Oryctolagus cuniculus: one gene and its partners. The protein of the gene in region 2 interacts with the protein of the main gene of each other region in a pairwise test. Links are inferred from orthologs where the notes say so. Each region holds a gene or a part of one and is shown on either strand. Other genes may lie near its edges.

What was found.
Region 1: the proteins of FLAD1 (region 2) and CDKN1A interact in a two-hybrid assay, tested with the Homo sapiens proteins (2 studies listed by BioGRID and IntAct). The link is inferred for Oryctolagus cuniculus from reciprocal best matches to the Homo sapiens genes FLAD1 and CDKN1A.
Region 3: the proteins of FLAD1 (region 2) and SDCBP interact in binary tests that used the Homo sapiens proteins (3 or more experiments, as listed by UniProt). The two-hybrid records come from large-scale screens. The link is inferred for Oryctolagus cuniculus from reciprocal best matches to the Homo sapiens genes FLAD1 and SDCBP.
Region 4: the proteins of FLAD1 (region 2) and PRTFDC1 interact in binary tests that used the Homo sapiens proteins (3 or more experiments, as listed by UniProt). The two-hybrid records come from large-scale screens. The link is inferred for Oryctolagus cuniculus from reciprocal best matches to the Homo sapiens genes FLAD1 and PRTFDC1.
Region 5: the proteins of FLAD1 (region 2) and REL interact in binary tests that used the Homo sapiens proteins (3 or more experiments, as listed by UniProt). The two-hybrid records come from large-scale screens. The link is inferred for Oryctolagus cuniculus from reciprocal best matches to the Homo sapiens genes FLAD1 and REL.

Annotation. Positions count from the first base shown.
Region 1 is NC_091436.1:132,894,229-132,897,236, reverse strand, and holds part of CDKN1A (cyclin-dependent kinase inhibitor 1), read left to right. Parts: intron 1-1,245; 5' UTR 1,246-1,256; coding exon 1,257-1,701; intron 1,702-3,008. UniProt on the Homo sapiens protein: Plays an important role in controlling cell cycle progression and DNA damage-induced G2 arrest. Involved in p53/TP53 mediated inhibition of cellular proliferation in response to DNA damage.
Region 2 is NC_091438.1:43,528,042-43,532,945, reverse strand, and holds the start of FLAD1 (FAD synthase), read left to right. Parts: upstream 1-1,543; 5' UTR 1,544-1,584; coding exon 1,585-1,646; intron 1,647-1,855; coding exon 1,856-2,078; intron 2,079-4,618; coding exon 4,619-4,904. UniProt on the Homo sapiens protein: Catalyzes the adenylation of flavin mononucleotide (FMN) to form flavin adenine dinucleotide (FAD) coenzyme.
Region 3 is NC_091437.1:83,781,280-83,785,521, forward strand, and holds part of SDCBP (syntenin-1), read left to right. Parts: intron 1-1,255; coding exon 1,256-1,431; intron 1,432-2,268; coding exon 2,269-2,440; intron 2,441-4,224; coding exon 4,225-4,242. UniProt on the Homo sapiens protein: Multifunctional adapter protein involved in diverse array of functions including trafficking of transmembrane proteins, neuro and immunomodulation, exosome biogenesis, and tumorigenesis.
Region 4 is NC_091444.1:104,725,339-104,729,580, reverse strand, and holds part of PRTFDC1 (phosphoribosyltransferase domain-containing protein 1), read right to left. Parts: intron 2,450-4,242; coding exon 2,343-2,449; intron 1-2,342. UniProt on the Homo sapiens protein: Has low, barely detectable phosphoribosyltransferase activity (in vitro). Binds GMP, IMP and alpha-D-5-phosphoribosyl 1-pyrophosphate (PRPP). Is not expected to contribute to purine metabolism or GMP salvage.
Region 5 is NC_091433.1:141,782,389-141,786,630, forward strand, and holds part of REL (proto-oncogene c-Rel), read right to left. Parts: intron 3,701-4,242; coding exon 3,596-3,700; intron 3,488-3,595; coding exon 3,275-3,487; intron 1,949-3,274; coding exon 1,880-1,948; intron 1,752-1,879; coding exon 1,686-1,751; intron 1-1,685. UniProt on the Homo sapiens protein: Proto-oncogene that may play a role in differentiation and lymphopoiesis.

The DNA of each region.
Region 1 (3,008 bases), on a different chromosome or scaffold from region 2:
GCTGCATGGTGGAGCTAGGGGCTGTGCTCAGGGTGGGAGGGGCCGTGGGGTAGGTGTGGCAGGTGTGGCTTCAGCAGAGCTGTCCCCCCCAGAGCCTGTGAATCTGGTCCTGTCCCCAGGAAAAGCTGGAGTCAGGCCAGAGCAGGGCGCCCTCGCGAGCAGACTCCCCCTCACTTTTCCGGAGTGGGAGGTGTGCAGCCTGGGTGGACCAGCCATCTTTCATGTCCATTGCCCACAAAACGGGTTTCTTGGAGGCAGGCAGGGCTGTGAAGGGTCCAGACTTTGGCTCACCTGGTGTGCCTGGCAGGATGTGGCTCAGCCGGGGGAGAGACCGCCACCCCGCCCCACCTTCCCCCGAGGCCACCCACCTGATGCCATCCTTGGGAAAGGCCCCCAGCCTACGGCACCTGTCAGCTGCCGTCTGGAGGGGGAGAGGCAGGGAGGAGGCCCAGCCAGAGCTGCAGGCACAGAGGCGTCCTAACACCACGGTCTTCTCAGCGCCTTGGCCAGGTGCTGCCCAAGCATGTCCCCCACCTCTGAGACTGTTGCTGTCACCGGCCTCTTCCTAGAGAGGAGGAAAGGGGAGCGCAGAGACGCTAAGCCACTGGTCGGGGTCGCCCCGCGGAGCCTGCCCTCCAACCCAGCCCCTGTCACACCTGCTGCTGCTCGGCCTGCCTGGAGGGACTCCTGCCCCCACCCTGGCACTCTCTCAGCTTCCATAGACCAGGAAACGGAGGCCCAGAGACATGCAACGTCTACGTGGGAAGCCGTGGGGCTGGGATGACAGCCTGCGTGTTTTTACTCCAAAGCCCGGGGTTCACTTTTCCAGGCAGGAATGATGGGGGAGGTTGTGTTGGGAGGCTGGAGGAGCCCCTGCCTACGCCTCCCTCTGGGAACCGACTTCCTGGCCAGGACTATCACTGGGAAACTACTGGACTCTGGCAATTCACACCCCTGAGGGCCACCTCAGGGGAGGACAAATTGATTTTAGCTGATAACGCTGATGGCAAACAGGACCCTGCTCCCGGCCAGGCCATTGCAGTGAGGTCATGCTGTGGACATAAGCTCGCCCCGTGCTGCCCATGCCCCCATTGACGTCAGGGTGCCTGGCTGGCTGAGTTCTGCCCCCACCTGGGGTCTGTTGGGGGGTGGGGGTGGATGCCCCGCCCCAGCCAGGGTGCGGTAGAAAGTCCTTGTTGGGAACCGGGAAGCGTCCTCACCAAGGCCACCCTTCCACTGTCCCAGCCCTAGGCAGCATGTCGCAGCCGTCGGACGAGGCGCCACAGCCCCCGCACAGGAGCAAGGCTTGCCGCCGCCTCTTCGGGCCCGTGGACAGCGAGCAGCTGCGCCGAGACTGCGACGCACTCATGGCCGACTGCCTGCAGGAGGCCCGCGAACGCTGGAACTTCGACTTTGTCACTGAGACGCCGCTGGAGGGCAACTTCGCCTGGGAGCGCGTGCGGGGCCTGGGTCTGCCCAAGCTCTACCTGGCCCCGGGGCCCCGGGGTGGCAGGGAGGACCCGGCAGGGTGCAAGCGGCCGAGCACCTCAGCCGCCCTGCTGCCAGCGGCTCAGGAGGACCACGTGGACCTGTCGCTGACCTGCACCCTGGTACCTCGCTCCCCGGAACGGCCCGAGGAGTCCCCAGGCGGGCCTGGTACCTCTCAGGGCCGGAAACGGCGGCGGCAGACCAGCCTGACAGGTGAGGTCGGGTGTGGGGAGGGATGCTAGGGGGGACTGGGGCCCTCGGAACCCCCCCATGCGGGACCTGTCCTGTTTGCTTCAGCTTGTCCCCGAGAAGGGAAGCCGCCTAGGTGAGGCTGCACACAGGGCTGTAGCCAGCGTTTGTCCAGGGCGTATTTATTACCCGGCAGTCCTTGCTGAGCGACTGAAGACAATCTTGCTCCCCTTCCAAGGAGACGAGGCTCCGAGAGGGAGAGATTGGCCTGAGGTCGCGCAGGGCGTGTGCTGGGGAGAGGACACTGGCCGTAGCGCCATTCTGGCCTCTGCAAACTTTATTCCCTCCCCTCATCACACACGCGTCCCTCCCTCCCCCCACCTATCCGCCGTGTCCTCGTCGGCATTTTTCTACCCTGGATCCACTGTTCCTTCTGACCTTGACACGGGCCGTCTCTCCCACTAGCATATCAGCCCCACAAAAAAGGGATCTGGGCGTCTCTTGTTCATTGTGGAGTCCCCAGCCTGGAGAGCAGTGTCTGGTGGAGCAGGTGCTCCATGAAAGGTGAATGAGTGATGCTGGCATTTGGTCACCTATTACGCCGGGCCCTGGACCAAAGCCTTTAGAGAGACCATTGATTTCCTCCTTAGAGTGCACTCCCACGGAGAAGCCTCATTTGCAATTTATTACTTATTCATTCAAGAGACACAAAGAAAGCTTCCTTCTGCTGGTTCCCTCTCCAAATGTCCTCAGTAGCCTGGGTTGGGGCTGCAGGCAGGAGCTGGGAATTCAATCCAGGTCTCCCACATGGAACGCAGGAAACCGATTTCTTGGGCCATCAGCGGCTGCCCGGAATTCCAGAGTCGGCATTAGCAGGAAACTGGAGTCGGGAGTGAGAGCCGGAATAGAAGCCAGGCACCCTGGTGTGGGAGGCAGGCATCCTCCTTGCTGGGCTGGAGGCGCACTCCCACGCCTCGTTTTGTAGGTGAGGCAGCTGAGGCTGAGGGGTGCAGACGAGCGTCCTGTGGGCCATTTTCAGTTGGGTCTGAACTGATGGTGATGACAATGATGACTCCTGTGGACCTGGGCCAGGACACTTTCTGTGGACTGGTGGACTGCCTCCCACAGCGCTGACCAGCAGAGTTCTATGCAGGGGCGGGCCTGTCCAGTGCAGGGGTCCCTGCGTCCCAGGAACCAGATCTTTGCTTGTGCTGGATTTGAGTCCCCGGAAATAGCCACGTAGAAGTAGCGGCTCCTGCTCAGGGCAGTGTGGCCCAGACCAGACTCATGGACAGTCACATCAGTGAGGCACAGGGGTGCTCCCTGGGTTC
Region 2 (4,904 bases):
TCTTCCCTGCCGCCATCCATTCATTCCTAGAAGAGTGGTTCTTCAGATGTCATTTCTGGACACAGGCTTCAACATCGCCTGAACATTTGTTACAGATGCAAATTCTTAGGCTCCTCCCTAGACCTACTGACTCCCAAAGGGAGGGGAGAGCCCCGCAGTGTTCAACAAGCTCTCCACCTGATCCTGGTGTGAACTTCATCTTGAGAACTCGTAGAGGATCAGAAGAGAATTGTTTGAGGGGGGGTCAAACGCTCACCTTTATCACCAGGATGCATGGATACTGTGCTCTTTATCATTAGGCAAGTCGCCTTGTTTGGAGTTCTGTTTTTTGAGAAAGAATGGTCTAGCAGCCTGGCTCCTCCATTCATGTGTTTTGTGGTTTCAGGCATCCCTTCACCTTTCTGAGCCTGTTCTCTGTCAAACAGAGATGTGATCCACAGGGATTTTGTAGGATAAAATGAGGCCAGGTGTGGTTCAGCACGCCTCCAAACAATGGCAGGAACTTTGGACAGGGCCCAGCAGCACCACACGGTGCTGGCATCCAAGCCTACTGAATCAGCATCTGCATTTTAAAGGTCCCCAGATGACTGATGTAAACATTACAGTTGAAGATGCACTTAAACCAAAAGCAACCGAAATGGGAATAAGCTAGGCTGCTGTGAGTCTAAGAGATACAGACACTCCCTACTCACTGCCTCATTCGGATCCACAAAACCAAAGACTGGGCAGGGAAAGGAGGGTTTGAACTAAGCACCATCTGGACAAGTTTGCTTGGCTTCATCGTTTACACTGGAGGCAAACGGAGCTTTCACACACCAACAGGCCGCCTACTCCACAGGCACTACCGGTCATCATTCTCAACTCCGGCTACAAAAATCAAATCCCTTCTGGAGCCGGTACCAGTCCCCGAGTCCTCAGCCCAGACGTGGTCATGGTGCATGAAAACGGGGAACGTAGGCACATGAGAAACTGACTACAGAGTGAGCGGAGGTTAGCATCCAGCCTCCCTCTACCTCCAGCTCCAGATGGAAGCGCCCCGAAGGCCTTAGGGCACCTCCAATCGCAGCTCATCCGCTCCGCTGAGCCGGCCCAGGCCCCGCCCTCCCCGCCGACTGAGGCCCGGCCCCCGCGTTTCCGGGCGGCTGTGACTATTTGGTTGTCGCCAATAACAACCCAGCATTGCTCCCGCTCGCTGGCTAGCGCCTGAGAGCGACAGTCAACTACACCAATGGAACCTTGAGAGAAGTCTAAGGGACAGCCCAAGTGACCAATCGCCATGAAGTACCTGTGGGGAGGGCGGGATTTTGAGTACGGAAGCTGTCCCGGGACATGAGGAAAGGAAAGAGGAAAACACCGGTGAAGGGGTAAAGCAGGCAGGTGAGAGCCGAGAAGAACTCAGTTTGAAAATTGGTGGGCAAAGAGGGGATTCCGGGCTAGAAAGGGTGCAGACGGCTGCAGGAAAAGGCTGCTGGATTCTGGTAGGGGGTGGAAGGGGAGAACGCATTTAAAGGAGCCGAGGCTCAGGTTGAGGCAGACGTTTAAAGGGGCCGACCCCCTGAACAGAAGAGACATTTAAAGGTGCAGATGCCCAAGATAGAGCAGACACTTGAGGAGACGGGCTCGGCTGACCCGAGACGTTTAAAGTGGTAGGTCATTTTAAGTAGGACAGTTTAAGCAGACTGGAGCCAAGTTTAGAGGACCTTTAAGAGTATGGGTAGGGGCTTGCGAACACGTTTGTTAGACGGGAATGAGGGAGTCGCTTGTCAGGGGTCTGGTTAGAGTAGACTGAGGGGCTTCCTCTAGGGAAGAACACGCTCTCCTGCTCTCTTCCCATTGTCCTTTCTGGTTCCTCCAGGTTCCCTCGACCCAGGACCCTGTTCCCAGGCTATGGCCCCCAGTGCCCTGTAGACCTGGCGGGCCTCCAGTGCTTGCGGCCCCTATTTGGGGGTCTGGGTGCCTACTGGAGGGCCCTGCAGAGGGGCAGAGAAGGCAGAACCATGGCATCTAGGGCTTCTGACCTTCCCCCGGGGCGCAGCGTGACGGCAGGCATCATCATTGTTGGAGATGAGATCCTCAAGGTTTGTCTGGGCTGGGACGTGGCGGGGGGTGGGGGTGGGGGTTGTCCTCAAGGGCCTGCTGCAGATCCCGTTGAGGGAGGCGAATCTGGGTGGGAGATTCTGTGCCGCAGCAGGATTCTGGACTGAGTCCAGCATACTGGAGGAACGGTGATCCTCATCCATTCAAAATTACTCTGTTGAAAAACTTGTAACAAAGCCCCTGCAATTTGCCCAGCATTATGATAGAAGGCAGAGGGGCCACCCAGCAGTGACAGCAAGCCCAAGTAAGCAACAGAGGTGCAGGTGCATGGGCTGTGTTTTTTTTTTTTTAAAGACTTTATTTATTTATTTGAGAGGTAGAGTTACAGACAGTGAGAGGGAGAGACAGAGAGAAAGATCTTCCTTCTGTTGGTTCGCTCCCCAAATGGCTGCAACAGCCGGAGCTGCGCTGATCCGAAGCCAGGAGCCAGGTGCTTCTTCCTGGTCTCCCATGCGGGTGCAGGGCCCAAGGACTTGGGCCATCCTCCACTGCCTTCCCGGGCCACAGCAGAGAGTTGGATTGGAAGAGAAGCAGCCAGGACTAGAACTGGCGCCCATATGGGATGCTGGCGCCACAGGTGGAGGATTAACCTGCTGCGCCATGGCATCGGCCCCAAGGCTGTATTTCTTTTTAAAGATTTGTTTGAAAAGCAGAGCAACAGAGAAATCTGCCATCCACTGACTAATACCCCAAATGGCTGTAACGGCTGGGGTTGGTCCTGGTTGAAGCCAGGAGCCTGGAACTCCATGGGTCTAGGAGACAAGAATGGCAGGGACCAAGCACTCGGCCATCTCCTGCTGCCTTCCCAGGCACATTAGCAGGGAGCGGGATCGGAAGCAGGGCAGCCAGGACTTGAACTATCGCTCCAATAGGGGATGCTGATGTTGCAGGCAGTGGCCTAACCCCCTGCGCCACAGCGCTTGTCCCAGTGTTCTGTATTCTTACAAGTTATATCCAGGCTATTTGAAAATTGTTCACAGCACTCAGCAGAGTGGATAAATAAGCTAGAAGGAAGGTGCTGGAATGGTCAGGAAGTCTTACTACAGGACACAGTAGGCGTTAGATTCTATGTTATAAGAGTAATATCAGTGCCTATCTTTTCAGAGCTTACCAGGGGCTGGCAGGGTGCTTATTACGTCACAAGCCTGGTTTTCCTAATTCTCACAATAACTCCATGCAATTGCTACTATTATTATGAATCTCAATTAGTGGGTTATTAAGCTGAGGCTCAGAGATGTTGAGAAGCTGGTCCAGTTACAGCCCTAGGAAGTGGAGGACATGGGATGCTGGCCTGATTTTCCCTTACTCTGAAACACAGTTTTTTTTGTTTTTTTTTTTTTTGTTTGTTTGTTTTGATTTGTTTATGGGGCTGGTGCTGAGGTGTAGCAGATAAAGCTGCCACCTGCAGTGCCAGCATCCCATATAGACTCCCGTTCAAGTACTGACTGCTCTTTTTCTGATCCAGCTCCACTATCGTCTGGGAAAGCAGTAGAAGATGGCCAAGTCCGTGGGCCCCTGCACTCACATGGGAGATCCAGATGAAGCTCCTGGCCCTGGCTTTGGATTGGCCTAGCTGCAGCCATTGCCACCAGCTGGAGAGTGAACTAGCAGATAAAAGACCTTTCTCTCTCTCTCTCTCTGCCACTGCCTCTCAAATAAATAAATATATCTTTTTTTTTCTTTCTTTTTTTTTTTTTTTTTTTTTAATATGAGAGGTAGAGTTACAGAAAGGGAGAGGGAGAGACAGAGAGAAAGGTCTTCCATCTGCTGGTTCACTCCCCAAATGGCCATAATGGCTGATCCAAAGCCAGGAGCATCTCCCGGGCCTCCCACATGGATGCAGAAGCCCAAGCACAAGGGCCATCTTCCTCTGCTTTCCCAGGCCATTAGCGGGGAGCTGGATTGGAAGCAGAGCAGCCGGAACTCAAACTGGCGCCCATACAGGATGCCGGCGCCTCAGGCAGCACCTCCTGTGCCACAGCACTGGCCCCTGGATCACAAGTTCTTAACCAGTCAATCCTCTGTGGGGAAGTAGAAGCAGATGGGGCTGGAAAAGAAGAGGGTGCGCGGCCTACACAGCCCCGGCTGCCTGCAGAGGAACGTGAACTTTCTCCTGTGCACAGCTGGAACCACAAATGGCTGCCGAGCCCCAAGCGCTGCAAGGACAGTGACACCTTAGGGAGGCTACTCAGCAGACACGGAGCAGAGCCCGTGCCCGGCCAGCAGGCTCTTGCCAGTGTCCGGGTGGAAGCTCCTGAGACCTGCCTGGTGGCAGCGAGGACAGGCCGGGAGACGTTTCCGAGGAGAGTTGGCAGGACGAAGGGCCTCAGCGGCCGTGGACAACAGCCGGGGGTACAGCGAGGCTGCGCCACGAGGGCTCGGAGCGAGGGCGCTGACACTGTCATGGGTCCCCCGAAGAACAGAGCACCCGTCATTAGGCAGGTGCAGCTGTCCCCTCCCTCTCTGCCCTTGGTCCCCAGAGCACTGACTGTCTCATCCTCCCCACCCCACCCCACCCCAGGGACACACTCAGGACACCAACACCTACTTTCTGTGCCGGACGCTGCGCTCCCTGGGGGTCCAGGTGTGCCGAGTCTCTGTCGTGCCTGACGAGGTCGCCACGATCGCCGCGGAGATCACCTCTTTCTCCAGCCGCTTCACGCACGTGCTCACCGCGGGCGGCATCGGCCCCACTCACGATGATGTGACCTTTGAGGCAGTGGCGCAGGCCTTTGGGGATCAGCTCAAGCCACACCCCGAGCTGGAGGCGGCCATCAAAGCCTTTGGAGGGGAGGGCTGGGAGAAGC
Region 3 (4,242 bases), on a different chromosome or scaffold from region 2:
TTTAGAATTGTGAAAGATGTGCTGTATCTTTACCCCGATTTAAGGTTTTAGCTCTTATCTATTAAATTCTCTATTTTGTTTTTTGTTATTTATTTGATAGGCAAGAGATAGAGAGAGGGACACATACACACAGAGGTAGAGAGCTTCCATTTGCTGGTTTACCTCCCCAGCAGTGGCTGGGACTAGGTCAGACCGAAGCCAGGAGTGTGAAATTCTGAGTCTCCCTTGTGCATGCAAATATTTAGGACATATTTTGCTGCTCTCCCAGGCGCATTAGCTGGGAGCTGGACCAAAAGTGGAGCAGACGGAACGTGAACTGACACTCCCATAAGAGATGCCAGAGTCACAGGTGGTGCTTTAGCCCACCACAGTGCTGACCCCCATTGTAGGTATCTTGGCAGTGGATTTGTGCTCCAGCCAGTGCACACTGGCCCACGTCATGGAATGCCACCTAGTTCTTTCTTACTACCCCAAGGTTAACCAATGAGAAGAATGTGTGATGGCCATTAGCAGTGAGCCAGATTGGAAGTGGGACAGTCAGGACATGAACCGGCATCCATATGGGGTGCAGGCACCACCAGCATTAATTTTACCTGTTATGCCACGGTGCCAGCCCCCATAATGGATTCTTCACAAAGGCTCATGTGGAGGTTAATATGTTTATCATTTTGGGCTGTTAAACTCTGTAATCTTTCTTGATTCTGTATAACTTAGCAAATGAGTAAAGGAATCGATTCCTTCAGCTCAAAAGGTAGAAGTATGACCTTAAACCATCATTTTTTTAAGCTGTAAAAGAATTCACCTGACTTCCAACACTTAATTCACTTCCCACCTTCCATGGGAAACATCTGGCCCATGAGCCACATAAGGCCTGCAGTCCTTTGGTCTGGTACCCTTGCAATTATGATAATGTGCTTATACCTATTTGGCATTGTTGGACTCAGACACTTGATTTAGTTATCCTACTTTATTTCCTTAGTCTTTTTATTTCAAGGTGGTGGAGGGGTGACTGAAGTTGACCTAGTGCATCATGATTTGAGTTTCATTTTTTTTGATTATTCTCTGGGGGCTTTGCCTTGATAAATTCTTCAGTTTGTTTTTAAGGGAGTGAGAGCACATTATATTCCTATTGTTTTTTCTCTTTAGTTTTGGTTATTAGATTTCAACTACAAACAGCTGTTTCCTAATTTTCCAATGTGTTAAAACCATTATTACAGCAGTGGTAAATGACCAAAGTTATTTCCTTATTATCTAGGGTATATTTGTTCAGCTAGTCCAGGCAAATTCTCCAGCCTCATTGGTTGGTTTGAGATTTGGCGACCAGGTACTCCAGATCAATGGTGAAAACTGTGCAGGCTGGAGCTCCGATAAAGCTCACAAGGTGCTCAAACAGGCTTTTGGAGAGAAGATTACAATGACCATTCGTGACAGGTAAGCTGCTGCTAAAAACAGTTCAAATGGAAATTTTCTTTGGCTTTAGGATTCTGTGAATACAGTGTGTTGTTCCAGAAAACTATCAAATGTTACTGATGAGCCTTACAGTCTTGCAGATGGTACAGGTGGTTCTTACGTAGTTTTATTTTTTTTTAAATAGCATTTTGATTTTACAAAAACACCTTACTTCTGAGCTTATAAGAATTTGACCTCTCAGTAGGTATTCTCCATTCTCTTTAGAAAACAAAAGGTGTTGGAAAAGTAGTTACGTAGCATGACATCTCTGGTCTCACTTACCCAAAGTCCTCTGCTAAAGCATACAGTCTAGGGCCTTTACATACAGTGTTAGGATTCCTTGTGAGGGTCAGAGCCTGTGTAGAACTAAGTGGGTTCAGAGTCCTGAAAATGAGATCTGGCCTTATGGGTGGAAGGTGCTATTTTGTAGTTATTTATAATTTTTAATTTAAAAAATTTTTTTCAATTGAAAGGCAGAGCAACAAATAGTGGAGCAGACAGTACATGAACCAGGTGCCCATATGGGATGCTGGCATCACAGGCAGCGGCTTAACCCGCTAGGCCACAACGCTGGCCCCAAAAGAAGTCTTGAGTAATGAGTCAAACCATAATGAAGAGATCTAAAACAAACAAAAAACCACCTTTTAAAACAATAAAAGTAGTCTGTGAATGTATGCTCTCACTTATAGTAAGTTGCTCTTACTAGAAACATTTTGCCTTTATTGTAACAAGTACCCAGTATGGCAGAGCTTATTGCATATGAAATCTATTAAAATGTTTATCCTGAATTTAAATTTTTAATTGAACTCATGTTTATAGGCCTTTTGAGCGGACAATTACTATGCATAAGGACAGTACTGGACATGTTGGCTTTATCTTTAAAAATGGGAAAATAACATCCATAGTGAAAGACAGTTCTGCAGCCAGAAACGGTCTCCTCACGGAACATAACATCTGTGAGATCAACGGCCAGAATGTCATTGGATTGAAGGTACGTGACAGACCTTGTGCCTCACGGTCATTTTGCAAGTGTCTTTTTCTTTGACATGTTTTCGTACTTCCAGAATAGAGAAACTAAGTGGACAAGGGGAGACATGAGACAGATTTGGGGCTCTGGCATAAGCTAGCTGAGCTCTTTGGCTGTTACCAGGTTCTCTCTGCTGTTACCTAGATTTATCATTCCTGTATGAGGAGGGGTATCAGAAATCTGAAAACAGAGCTACCACATGACGGCCGTCCCACTCCTGGGAATTTATCCAGATGAAATGAAATCAGCATATGAATTATCTGCACCTCCATGTTTATTGCATCTCAGTTCACAATAGCTAAGATAGGGAATCAACCCAGATGTCCATCAACCCATGACTACAGAAAGAAAATGTGGTATATATATGCACTATGGAATATTACTGAGCCATAAAGAAGAATGAAATCTTTTTTTTTAAGATTTTATTTATTTGAAAGAGTTACAGAGAGGAGTTAGAGACAGAGATAGAGGTCTTCCATCCACGGGTTAACTCCCCAGATGGCCGCAACGGCTGGAGCTGTGCCAATCCGAAGTCAGGAGCCAGGAGCTTCCTCCAGGTCTCCCATGTGGGTACAGGGCCCCAAGGACTTGGGTCATCTTGTACTACTTTCCCAGGCCATAGCAGAGAGCTGGATCGGAAGAGGAGCAGCCGGGACTAGAACCGGCGCCCACATGGGATGCCTATGCTGCAGGCCAAGGCTTTAACCCACTGTACCACAGTGCCGGCCCCGAAGAACAAAATCTTTATCAACAAAATGGATGCAACTGGAAAGCATTATACTTCGTGAAATAAGCCAGTCCCAGACAGACAGTGTTTCCCCAATCTGTTACAATAGATTACAAAAAATGTATATGACCAAAATTGACATTTTGAGATTTGATTATTTATAGCCCTTGTTTCTACTGTTGAGGAAAAGTGATTTTTTTCTTCTTACTATTAAATTCTTTAAGTACTGGAGGGTTAAGTTTATGATTATAAAATAAAGTATGTCATTGTAAAAATTTTAAAAAAGGAAGAAGGGTGGGAAGTATGACTGTGCTCCTAAATGTGTATATATGAAATACATGAAATTTGTTCACCTTATATAAATTATTTTTAAAAAGGAGTGGTAGACAAAAATGTTTTGTGAAGTCCCTGGAGTGAACTTTGGTGAAGGACATGAGCAGTGATTTTCATGACTTTCTGAATGAATATTTCCCCAGCTGTTTTTCAGTACAGGAATATAGGAAATGAGTAAAAGCTTTGGATCACGTTCATACCTTTTAGTTTTTTCTCCTCCTAAAATCCCTAAATATGAGGGCACTTCAAAATTTTTGTGGGAAAATGGAATTAAAAGTTTTTAAGTCCCTACAGATTGAATAATACACTTGCATGAACATTTTGAATTCCCTTAAGTCTGTCTTAAGGTCAAAATGTTAATTAAGACCTGCCTATGTCATAAAGTTTGGCTGAGTGTACATGGTTAACAGAAAAGATAATTTTCCCCATATACAGTACCACAATATTACCTGAAATAATGAAAATGTGACTTTTTTCTAATATATTCAACTCAGTTTTGTTACTATCTATAAAACTGCTTTCTATAGAATAAAACTTGGTAAGGAAAACTAGAAAAATAACAAATATCTTAGTGTTTTAGACATGCTAGCCTAACATAACAAGAGGTATGGTGTATATTTCTTTACCAAGAATAATTTTTTTTATTAAAGGCTTAGTAAAATTAATTTTCATTATGTGTTTTCATCAGGACTCTCAAATTGCAGAC
Region 4 (4,242 bases), on a different chromosome or scaffold from region 2:
TGACAATGGGGAGAGTTGGCAGCTTGGGAAATGTACAGTTTCTCAGGTTTATTTGGTCAGGGACCTTTTCTCCCTCTGAGGATCAGACCTGCTTTAGCAATCTATGGGAAACCACCCTAGGCCAAGAAAAACCCCAAACCACAGCTTATCGTGTATTATACTGTAAGTCAGGAGAGGAAACATCACGCCTGTGGAAGTTCCATCCAATGGCAAATCTCAGAATTTGGGGGAATGAAATTCCTCTTGGCTTCCCGACAGACTGATAGGATGGTATTAACACAAGTACACGGGCCAGCGCCGCGGCTCACTAGGCTAATCCTCCGCCTTGCGGCACCGGCACACCAGGTTCTAGTCCCGGTCGGGGTGCCGGATTCTGTCCCGGTTGCCCCTCTTCCAGGCCAGCTCTCTGCTGTGGCCAGGGAGTGCAGTGGAGGATGGCCCAAGTGCTTGGGCCCTGCACCCCATGGGAGACCAGGAGAAGTACCTGGCTCCTGCCATCAGATCAGCGCGGCGGCCATTGGAGGGTGAACCAACGACGAAGGAAGACCTTTCTCTCTGTCTCTCTCACTGTCCACTCTGCCTGTCAAACACACACACACACACACACACACACACAAGTACACGGACAAACTATGCAGGGCGGCCGCTGGGTGTAGTGGTTAGGACCCCACTCGTGATGTCCATATCCCATGTATCACAGTGCCCGAGTTCAAGTCCAGGCTCTACTCCCGATTCCAGCTTCCTGCCAAGTGCACCCCGGGAAGCACAGCTGGAGCTCAAGCACTTGGGCCCCTGCCACACACAGATGGAGTCCCAGGCCTCTGGCTTCGGTCTGGCCCAGCCCTGGCTGCTGCAGCCATTTGGGGAGTGAACCAGTGAATGGAAGACCTCTCTGTCTCTCCTTTTGTCTTTCTGCCTCTCGAGTACAACAAGTAAACAAAAAACTATGCAAGAAATTCAAAATTCTTTTGCACCAAAATAAATTTAATCTTTCAACTTCCACTCTTCCATGAACTTTCTGAAGCTCCCTCCTATCCTAGGAACCATGACCGTTGAATGCTTTTTAACTTTTCTTTGGCTTTGAGGAGCTATTTATTAAAGTTAGAGCTGAATTCAGAAAGCTTTTTTATTTTTTTAACAGATCAAAAATATATAAAAGCAGAGATACTATGGTGTAAGCAAAGGGTTGCAGTGAGAAGTCAAACTTCTCCCTATTGCTGACTTCACCCCAAATTCTGGTCCCCCGAAGAATCCGCAGGGTTCCAGAGAGTTTCCCCTGAAAAGCAGGATGCTTGTTCACCACTGACATGTGCAGGTCACGGCCAGCACGTGGCCTCCCAGGTTAAGCTGCCACCTGCAGTGCTAGCACAGGCGCTGGTTCGAGTCCCGTCTGCTCCACTTTCAATTCAGCTCCCTGCTAATGCTCCTGGGAAAGCAGTAGAAGATGGCCCAAGTGCTTGGGCCCCTGCACCCATGTGGGAGACCCAGATGAAGCTCTGGGCTCCTGGCTTTGGCCTGGCTCAGCTCAGGCTCTTATGGCCATTTGGTGAGTGAACCAGTGGACAGAACACCTCTTTCTCCATCTCTCCCTCTCTATATAAATCTTTCAGAAATAAAGAAACCTGCAGGACTCTGTACTTGACCTTCGCACCAGAAATCTGAGGCCCACAGAAAGCAACTCAAGTTCTTGGTGCTGATGCAGGCTTGTTAAGGATCTGACCTATTAATCATTGGTGTGGTAGGACTGAACAGGAGGAGCTAAGTGGGGGTGACACAGCACAGGAGAGAAAATGTTGGTTTCAGGACAGGCCATCAGCAAGGAAGAAGCCAGAGGGTAGGGATGTAGACACATCAGGAAAAAAAAAAGATTCTGTTCTAGAACTCGTTCTCAGTATATATTTTAAGCTGCAAATACTACTATTCCCACCAGTGGTTAGAAAACGCCGCTCTCCGCACACCAGCCCACCTGGGATGCATGGTTTGGCGCAAGAGAGATCAGCATTGCAGAAAAATCCAGGGGTTCAGGGGGTACCCTAGGAAGTGAAGATTTCCTCCTGTTCCTCCCTGGTTAACTGGGACACAAACCCACGCTTTCCTGGCATGATCATCTGTAGGGGACCCTGTAGTCTCCAGACTGTGACAGAACAGCGACACACACACACACATAGCCTTTGAACATCCCGCCTGAACACACACGCAGGTAAACCACTCGGCACACGCCCAGACTCAGTCCGTCCCCAATTTGCTGTCCGACACCACTTCTCTCTGCCACCGTGAAAAGGGACTCGGGCGTCTCACACGATTCACGCACGTGGGCGGGCCAGCCCAGCTCACTCACTCACCTGTCCACGATGATGCCATGCGGTATGAGCACATACTCCAGGTCGCCGGAATAGTGCTGCGGGTACGTGAACAAGTTCAAGTCGTAGCCAGGCCAATCGTCCTTAATCTGCAAGAAGCGAATCATTTCAGTGAGGGTGTTCTGCACTGGGAATTCATCTCGAATCAAACAACGGAAAGGATATCATTTGGAACACAGACAACTGAACACAGGGAATTAGACCCTCTCTCTCCCCCAAGGAAGGGCTCCCTGGGGCCAGGCTGCTTGTCTGCTACAGCCTGATATTTGTTTATGACAACAGATACTTACAATGACCTAATACAGGACTTGGCATTGAAGGAAAGACAGCACTTCACTCCTGAGTCTTGACAGTGTAGTTAAGAATATAAACTCAGAGTCTCATGGCAAACCTGCCAGGACTATTTATATAAGTAAACATGGGATTTATATATAAAATTGTCACAAATATACCACCATAAAGAGTAACTATATACTATGTAGCAGATCATCATGTTACATTAATATATGCATTTTTATATAGGCTATTACATTTCTGCTGGCTCTAAGTAACTCATCTGCCTGAAAAAGATTATCAATTAAAAGTGCATCATTGGGGCAGCGCTGTGGTATAGTGGGTAGAGCTCCTATCTGCAGTGCCAGCACCCTATATGGGCACCGGTTCGAGTCCCAGATGCTCCACTTCTGATCCAGCTCTCTGCTGTGGCCTGGGAAAGCAGTAGACGATGGCCCAAGTCCTTGGGCCCCTGCATCAGTGTGGGAAGACCCAGAAGAAGCTCTTGGTTCCTGGCTTAGGATCGGCGCAGGTCTGGCTGTTGCGGCCATCTGGGGAGTGAACCAGTGGATGAAGACTTTTTTCTCTCTCTCTGCCTTTCAATTAAATAAATATTTTTTTAAACAAAAGTGCATTATCAGGGCCAGCACTGTGGCAGTGGGTTAAGCAGCCACCTGCGATGCCAGCATTCCATTCCAGCTTTCTGCTAACGCACACTTGGAGGCTGCAGCCGAGGACTCGAGTAGCTGGGCCCCGGCCATGCTTGTGGGAGACCTGGATTGAGCGCCTAGATGCCGGCTTCAGCCTGGCCCAGGCCCAGCTGTAGTAGGCACTGGGGAGTGAACCAGCACATGGGAGCTCTGTCTCTCTGCCATTCAAATAAATAACTTGATTTAAAAAAAATAACTTAATGAGACTGGAATGGCCCAGTAATTAAAGCGAAGGTATTGAAAGGCGTGTTCATGTGGGCACTTGAGCCAGGGCTACTGGGGAAGCGCTGGCCTAGCCTAGAAAACGGACCTGTTTGTAGCACGGACCGGGGGCAGCCGCTGCCCCGGCACTCCAGGCGTGAGGTTAGGCTTAGAACAGGCAGCAGGAGGGCAGAAAAGGAAGCCGGGTGGTCACGGAACACAGAGAGCAACGGAAGGGCCACACGCTCAGGGCAAGCCACACCCCAGCTATATTCTCAACTGGCTTTCTTCAAGGTCTCTGCACACCTGCGCCCGACTGTCCAGCCCTGAGTTGTCCAGGCCTTTCCTAATGCAGACCACGCTCCTTCCAGCACAACTCCCCACACCATCCCCTCTGCAGCAGGTGCTTTCTCACAACAGGACAGGGCCCTTCTGAGCTATGGAGCTATCCGGGTTTCCTTCACTGCTCCGTCTGGTGCGCTGACCTCGCTCCCTCCACCTCTGTAATCCAAACCCTACCCCACCCCTGCGCTCACTCCCTCCACCTCTAATTCAAACCCTACTTCACCCCTGCACTCACTCCCTCCACCTCTAATCCAAACCCTACCCCACCCCTGCACTCACTCCCTCCACCTCTAATCCAAACCCTACTTCACCCCTGCACTCACTCCCTCCACCTCTAATCCAAACCCTACCCC
Region 5 (4,242 bases), on a different chromosome or scaffold from region 2:
TTAATTCTGTATTTACATATTATATAAATGCTATATATACTATACCAGCAAAAAGTGAGACTTTGGAGAATGTGCCTTGAGTATGTGAAGAGAAGAATGGACGTTTGTTGTAGTGGTTAAGACTCCATTTGAGGGGCCAGCACTGTGGTGCAGCAGATTAATGCCCTGGCCTGCAGTGCCTGCATCCCATATGGGCACTGGTAAGACCTGGCTGCTCTACTTCTGATCTAGCTCTCTGCTAATGTGCTCTCATAGCAGAGAGCTGGATGGGAAGTGGAGCAGCCAGGTCTCAAACAGGCCAGGGCATTAACCTGCTGCACCACAGCGCTGGCCCCTGATTCAGTTTTCTGCTAATGTGCACCCTGGGAGGTAGCAGATAATTGCTCAAGTAGTTGGGTCCCTACCACTCACTGAGAAAACCCAGATTAAATGCTTAGATTATGGCTTCGATTTGGCCCAGCCAAAGCTGTTGAAGGCATTTGGGGAGTAAATAAGTGGATAGGAGATCTCTGTCTTTTGAAGTAAGTAAAAATAGGTGAGCTAATTTTAAAAAAAATAATGTAATGGGGGAAAAAGACTACCAATTAATTTTTGGTTGTATTTTCTAAACCAGGGCTTGGCAAATTTTTTTCTGTAAGGGACCACATAGTATTTTAAGTTTTGTGGACTATATACACCCTCTATTAGGATTATTCCAACTCTGTTGCTGTACTGTAAAAAAGAGACTAGTTGGAAACAATATATAATGAAATGACTGTGGCTGTGTTCCAATCAAAATTTTTAAAAATAGATGACAGGGCCAGCACTGTTGTATACTGGGTAAAGCCACCACCTGCAGTACCAGCATCCCAAATGGATGCTGGTGTCCCAGCTGCTCCACTTCAGATCCAGCTCCCTGCTAATGTGCCTTGGAAAGCAGCAGAAGATGGCTTAAGTCCCTGGGCCCCTGCACCCACATGGAAGACCCGGAAGAAGCTTCTGGCTCCTTCAAATAACTCAATGAATGAATGAATAAATTAGTAAATATCAAACAAACAAAGGGTGATGGATGACACTGGCTTAAAAAAAAAAAAATCGGGGCTGATGCTGTGGTGAGTGGCCTAAGCATCCTCCTGCAAGGCTAGCATCCCATATGGGCACTGGTTCTAGTTCCAGCTGCTCTTCTTCTGATCCAGCTCTCTGCTATGGAAAGCAGTGGAAGATGGACTAACTGCTTGGGCCCTGGCACCTGCTTTGGAATCCTGGAAGAAGCTCCTGGCTCTTGGCTTTGGACCAGCTCAGCTCCAGCCATTGCAGCCAACTGGGGAGTGAACCAGCAGATGGAAGACCTTTCTCTCTCCCTCTCTCTCTCTGTAACTCTACCTCCCAAATAATAAATAAAATCTTTAAAAAAAATAAAAAATAAAAAAGATGACCAGCCAGATTTAAACCATTTCTTCCATGATACACTACAATTAATAATACCACCAAATAAATAAAATACAATTTCTTAGACAGTAAATCTGCAAAACATAATCTGTTTTCAGGGCAACTTTCAGGTACTGAGCTCAATTCATTCAATAATGAAAGCCTAAAAAAGTTTACAGGAGTGTTTAACAAAGAAGCAGTTACTCATTCCTAAAAATGGAATTCTTATATAAAATATTAGTCTGATGACAAGCAATATACTGTTGGGGATAAAATACCTTTTTTGATGAATCTTCCTTCTCCTGGTCCTCGGAAACCTGGTCTTGATCTCTCAGGAAAATTAACTGTTATGATAAAGTTTTCCCATTATTAAGTATAATTTGAAAAATAACATTATCAGTTAAAATTTGAAAAAAATGAAAAGCAAAATATATAACCTACATAAATATGAATCAATACAAAATACACTTACCGCAATCCTGCCACAGTTTGTGGAAAAGTAAAGTAGTTTTTTGTTTCTTTGATTTATTGCCGTAAGTATCTGATTAAAAAAGAAATGAAGAAAGCAGGTGAATCACCATGATTATGTTTCCTCTCCATTAATAAACAAACAGGCGTTTTATTTCAACAAGAATATGAAAATGCTTTAAATAAATGTACATAGTATGGACTTAGTAAGTATAAAAGTGTAAAGAATGTCCCAAACCAGTGGGAAAGAATATTTTATCGTGTAAAAATGTTTCAAATATTTATCTTGTTTGCTTCTAATACCTATAAGTTAACAACATCAACTAATAAAAAATGTTCTGATAAAAGAGCCAAAACAAAGACCAGTCTGAGTGGCAAGTTTCCCCTCTTTTAAAAGGATGCACAAGAGAAAAAAATAGAGCCTCAAAAATAAAACAGAAAATTTGATAAACAGCTCAAATACTCAAACAATTCCAGATTAATCAAACCTAAGAAACAGATGTAAAGCATGTAAAGGAAAAAAAAAATCAGAGCAGGTGTTTGGCAAAGTGTTAAGTTGCTGCTTGGGATGTCTGTATCCCTTATCAGAGTGTTTGGTTTGAGTCCTGGCTATTCCACTTCCAATCCAGGTTCCTGCTAATGTACACCATAGGAGGTAGCAGGTGATGGCCCAAGTAGTTGGGTTCAGGACCATCCATGTGGGAGACCAGAACTGAGCTCCAGGCCTCTGGCATTAGCCTGGTTGAGCCCTGGTTGTTGCAGGCATTTGAAGAGTGAAATAGCAGATGGAAGATCTTTCTCTCTGCCTTTCAAATAAAATGAGTATTTTTAAAAATAGAGGAATAGAAAAAAAATGAAAACTTTCAGGAAAAGAAACATACATTAATAACACGAGGTTTCAAAGAGTTCATGGAAAGGGGGCAGGTGTTTAGCCTAGCAGTTAAAGATGCTCGCATCCCACGTTGGAGTGCCTGGGTTTGATCGGTTTCCTGGCTCTAGCTCCTGACTCCTAGTTGTTAATACAGACACTGGGAGGCAGAAATGGGGGCTCACATAATTGGGTCCCTTCCCATGTGGGAGACCCAGATTGAGTTCCTGGTTCGGCCTAGACCCCAGCCCTGCCCCAACCATTCTGAGCATCTGAAGAGTGAACCAGCAGTTGGGAGCTTTCTTTCATTCAAATAAATTAAGAAATGTTTTAAAGATTGTTTTGAGAGGCAGAGTTATAGACAGAGAGAGGGAGAGGCAGAAAGAAAGGTCTTCCATCCGCTGGCATACTCCCCAAATGGCTGCAATGGCCGGAGCCAGGCCCATCCAAAAGCCAGGAGCCAGGAGCTTCTTCCAGGTCTCCCACGTGGGTGCAGGGGCCCAAGGATTATGGGCCACCAAAATGTCATACCTTTTTCATCTGGCAGATATCTAAAATCCATAGATTCACTAACTTCCTGGTCAGAAGGTCTCCGAAGCTGCATTTTTACCGTTACTGGTTCTGTGATAGCTTTGCAATATGGTGGAGTTTTGAAAACAATGGCTACTTGACGGTGTACATCAGCTTGTGAAAAGATGCCTTTTGCTTCCCAATCATTCAATACAAAACGAACTTCTATGTCATCTAGTAAATAAGAAACCAAAGAAATAACAAAGGGAAAACAAAATAAAATCCATCTATTAATCTAAAAACATTCTGAATTTAATGAACCAAAATACAAAAATGAAGTACCTTTTTGAACTTTGTCACAAAGTAGAAATATTTCATCTCCTCCTCTTACACTTCCGCAGTTCTTGTTTACACGACAAATCCTTAATTCTGCAGTATTTGGAGCACCTACAAAGAAACAATTTTTAAAATACGAGTTTCTACCTTGGTAAAATATTTCTTTTTGAAGGGGAGGACTTGAGGAAAACTATTTAAAGAATGTTTCAGCATACAAATAAAAGATACTAAACACATTAATCATCCACATCTGTCCCTTTCTTTTCTAACTGCTTCACCTAACTTGGTTTAGAGCTTTATGATGTTATTTCTAGGAAATGATAAGTACTCCTTGCTGCTAAATCCTGATTCTTCTAATGCATCCTACATACTGAAGCCAGATTCATCTTAAATCATGACCATATCCCTAAGACAATATGATTTTCATGCTTTTTATTATCTGGCCAACATGATTTTATTAATTTTCCCTGGCATTCATGGTTCTGTCTTTATAGCCCTATGTCCCATTATCTTTTTAAACGCGAAACAGGTGAAGGTACACACAATGAGTACATGTACAGGGATGAAATACTTTGTAGAGCAGCTTTACAATGATAAATATATCTACCTTTTGATCTAGCATTTCCAAGAACTCTACTTCTAGAAATGTATGC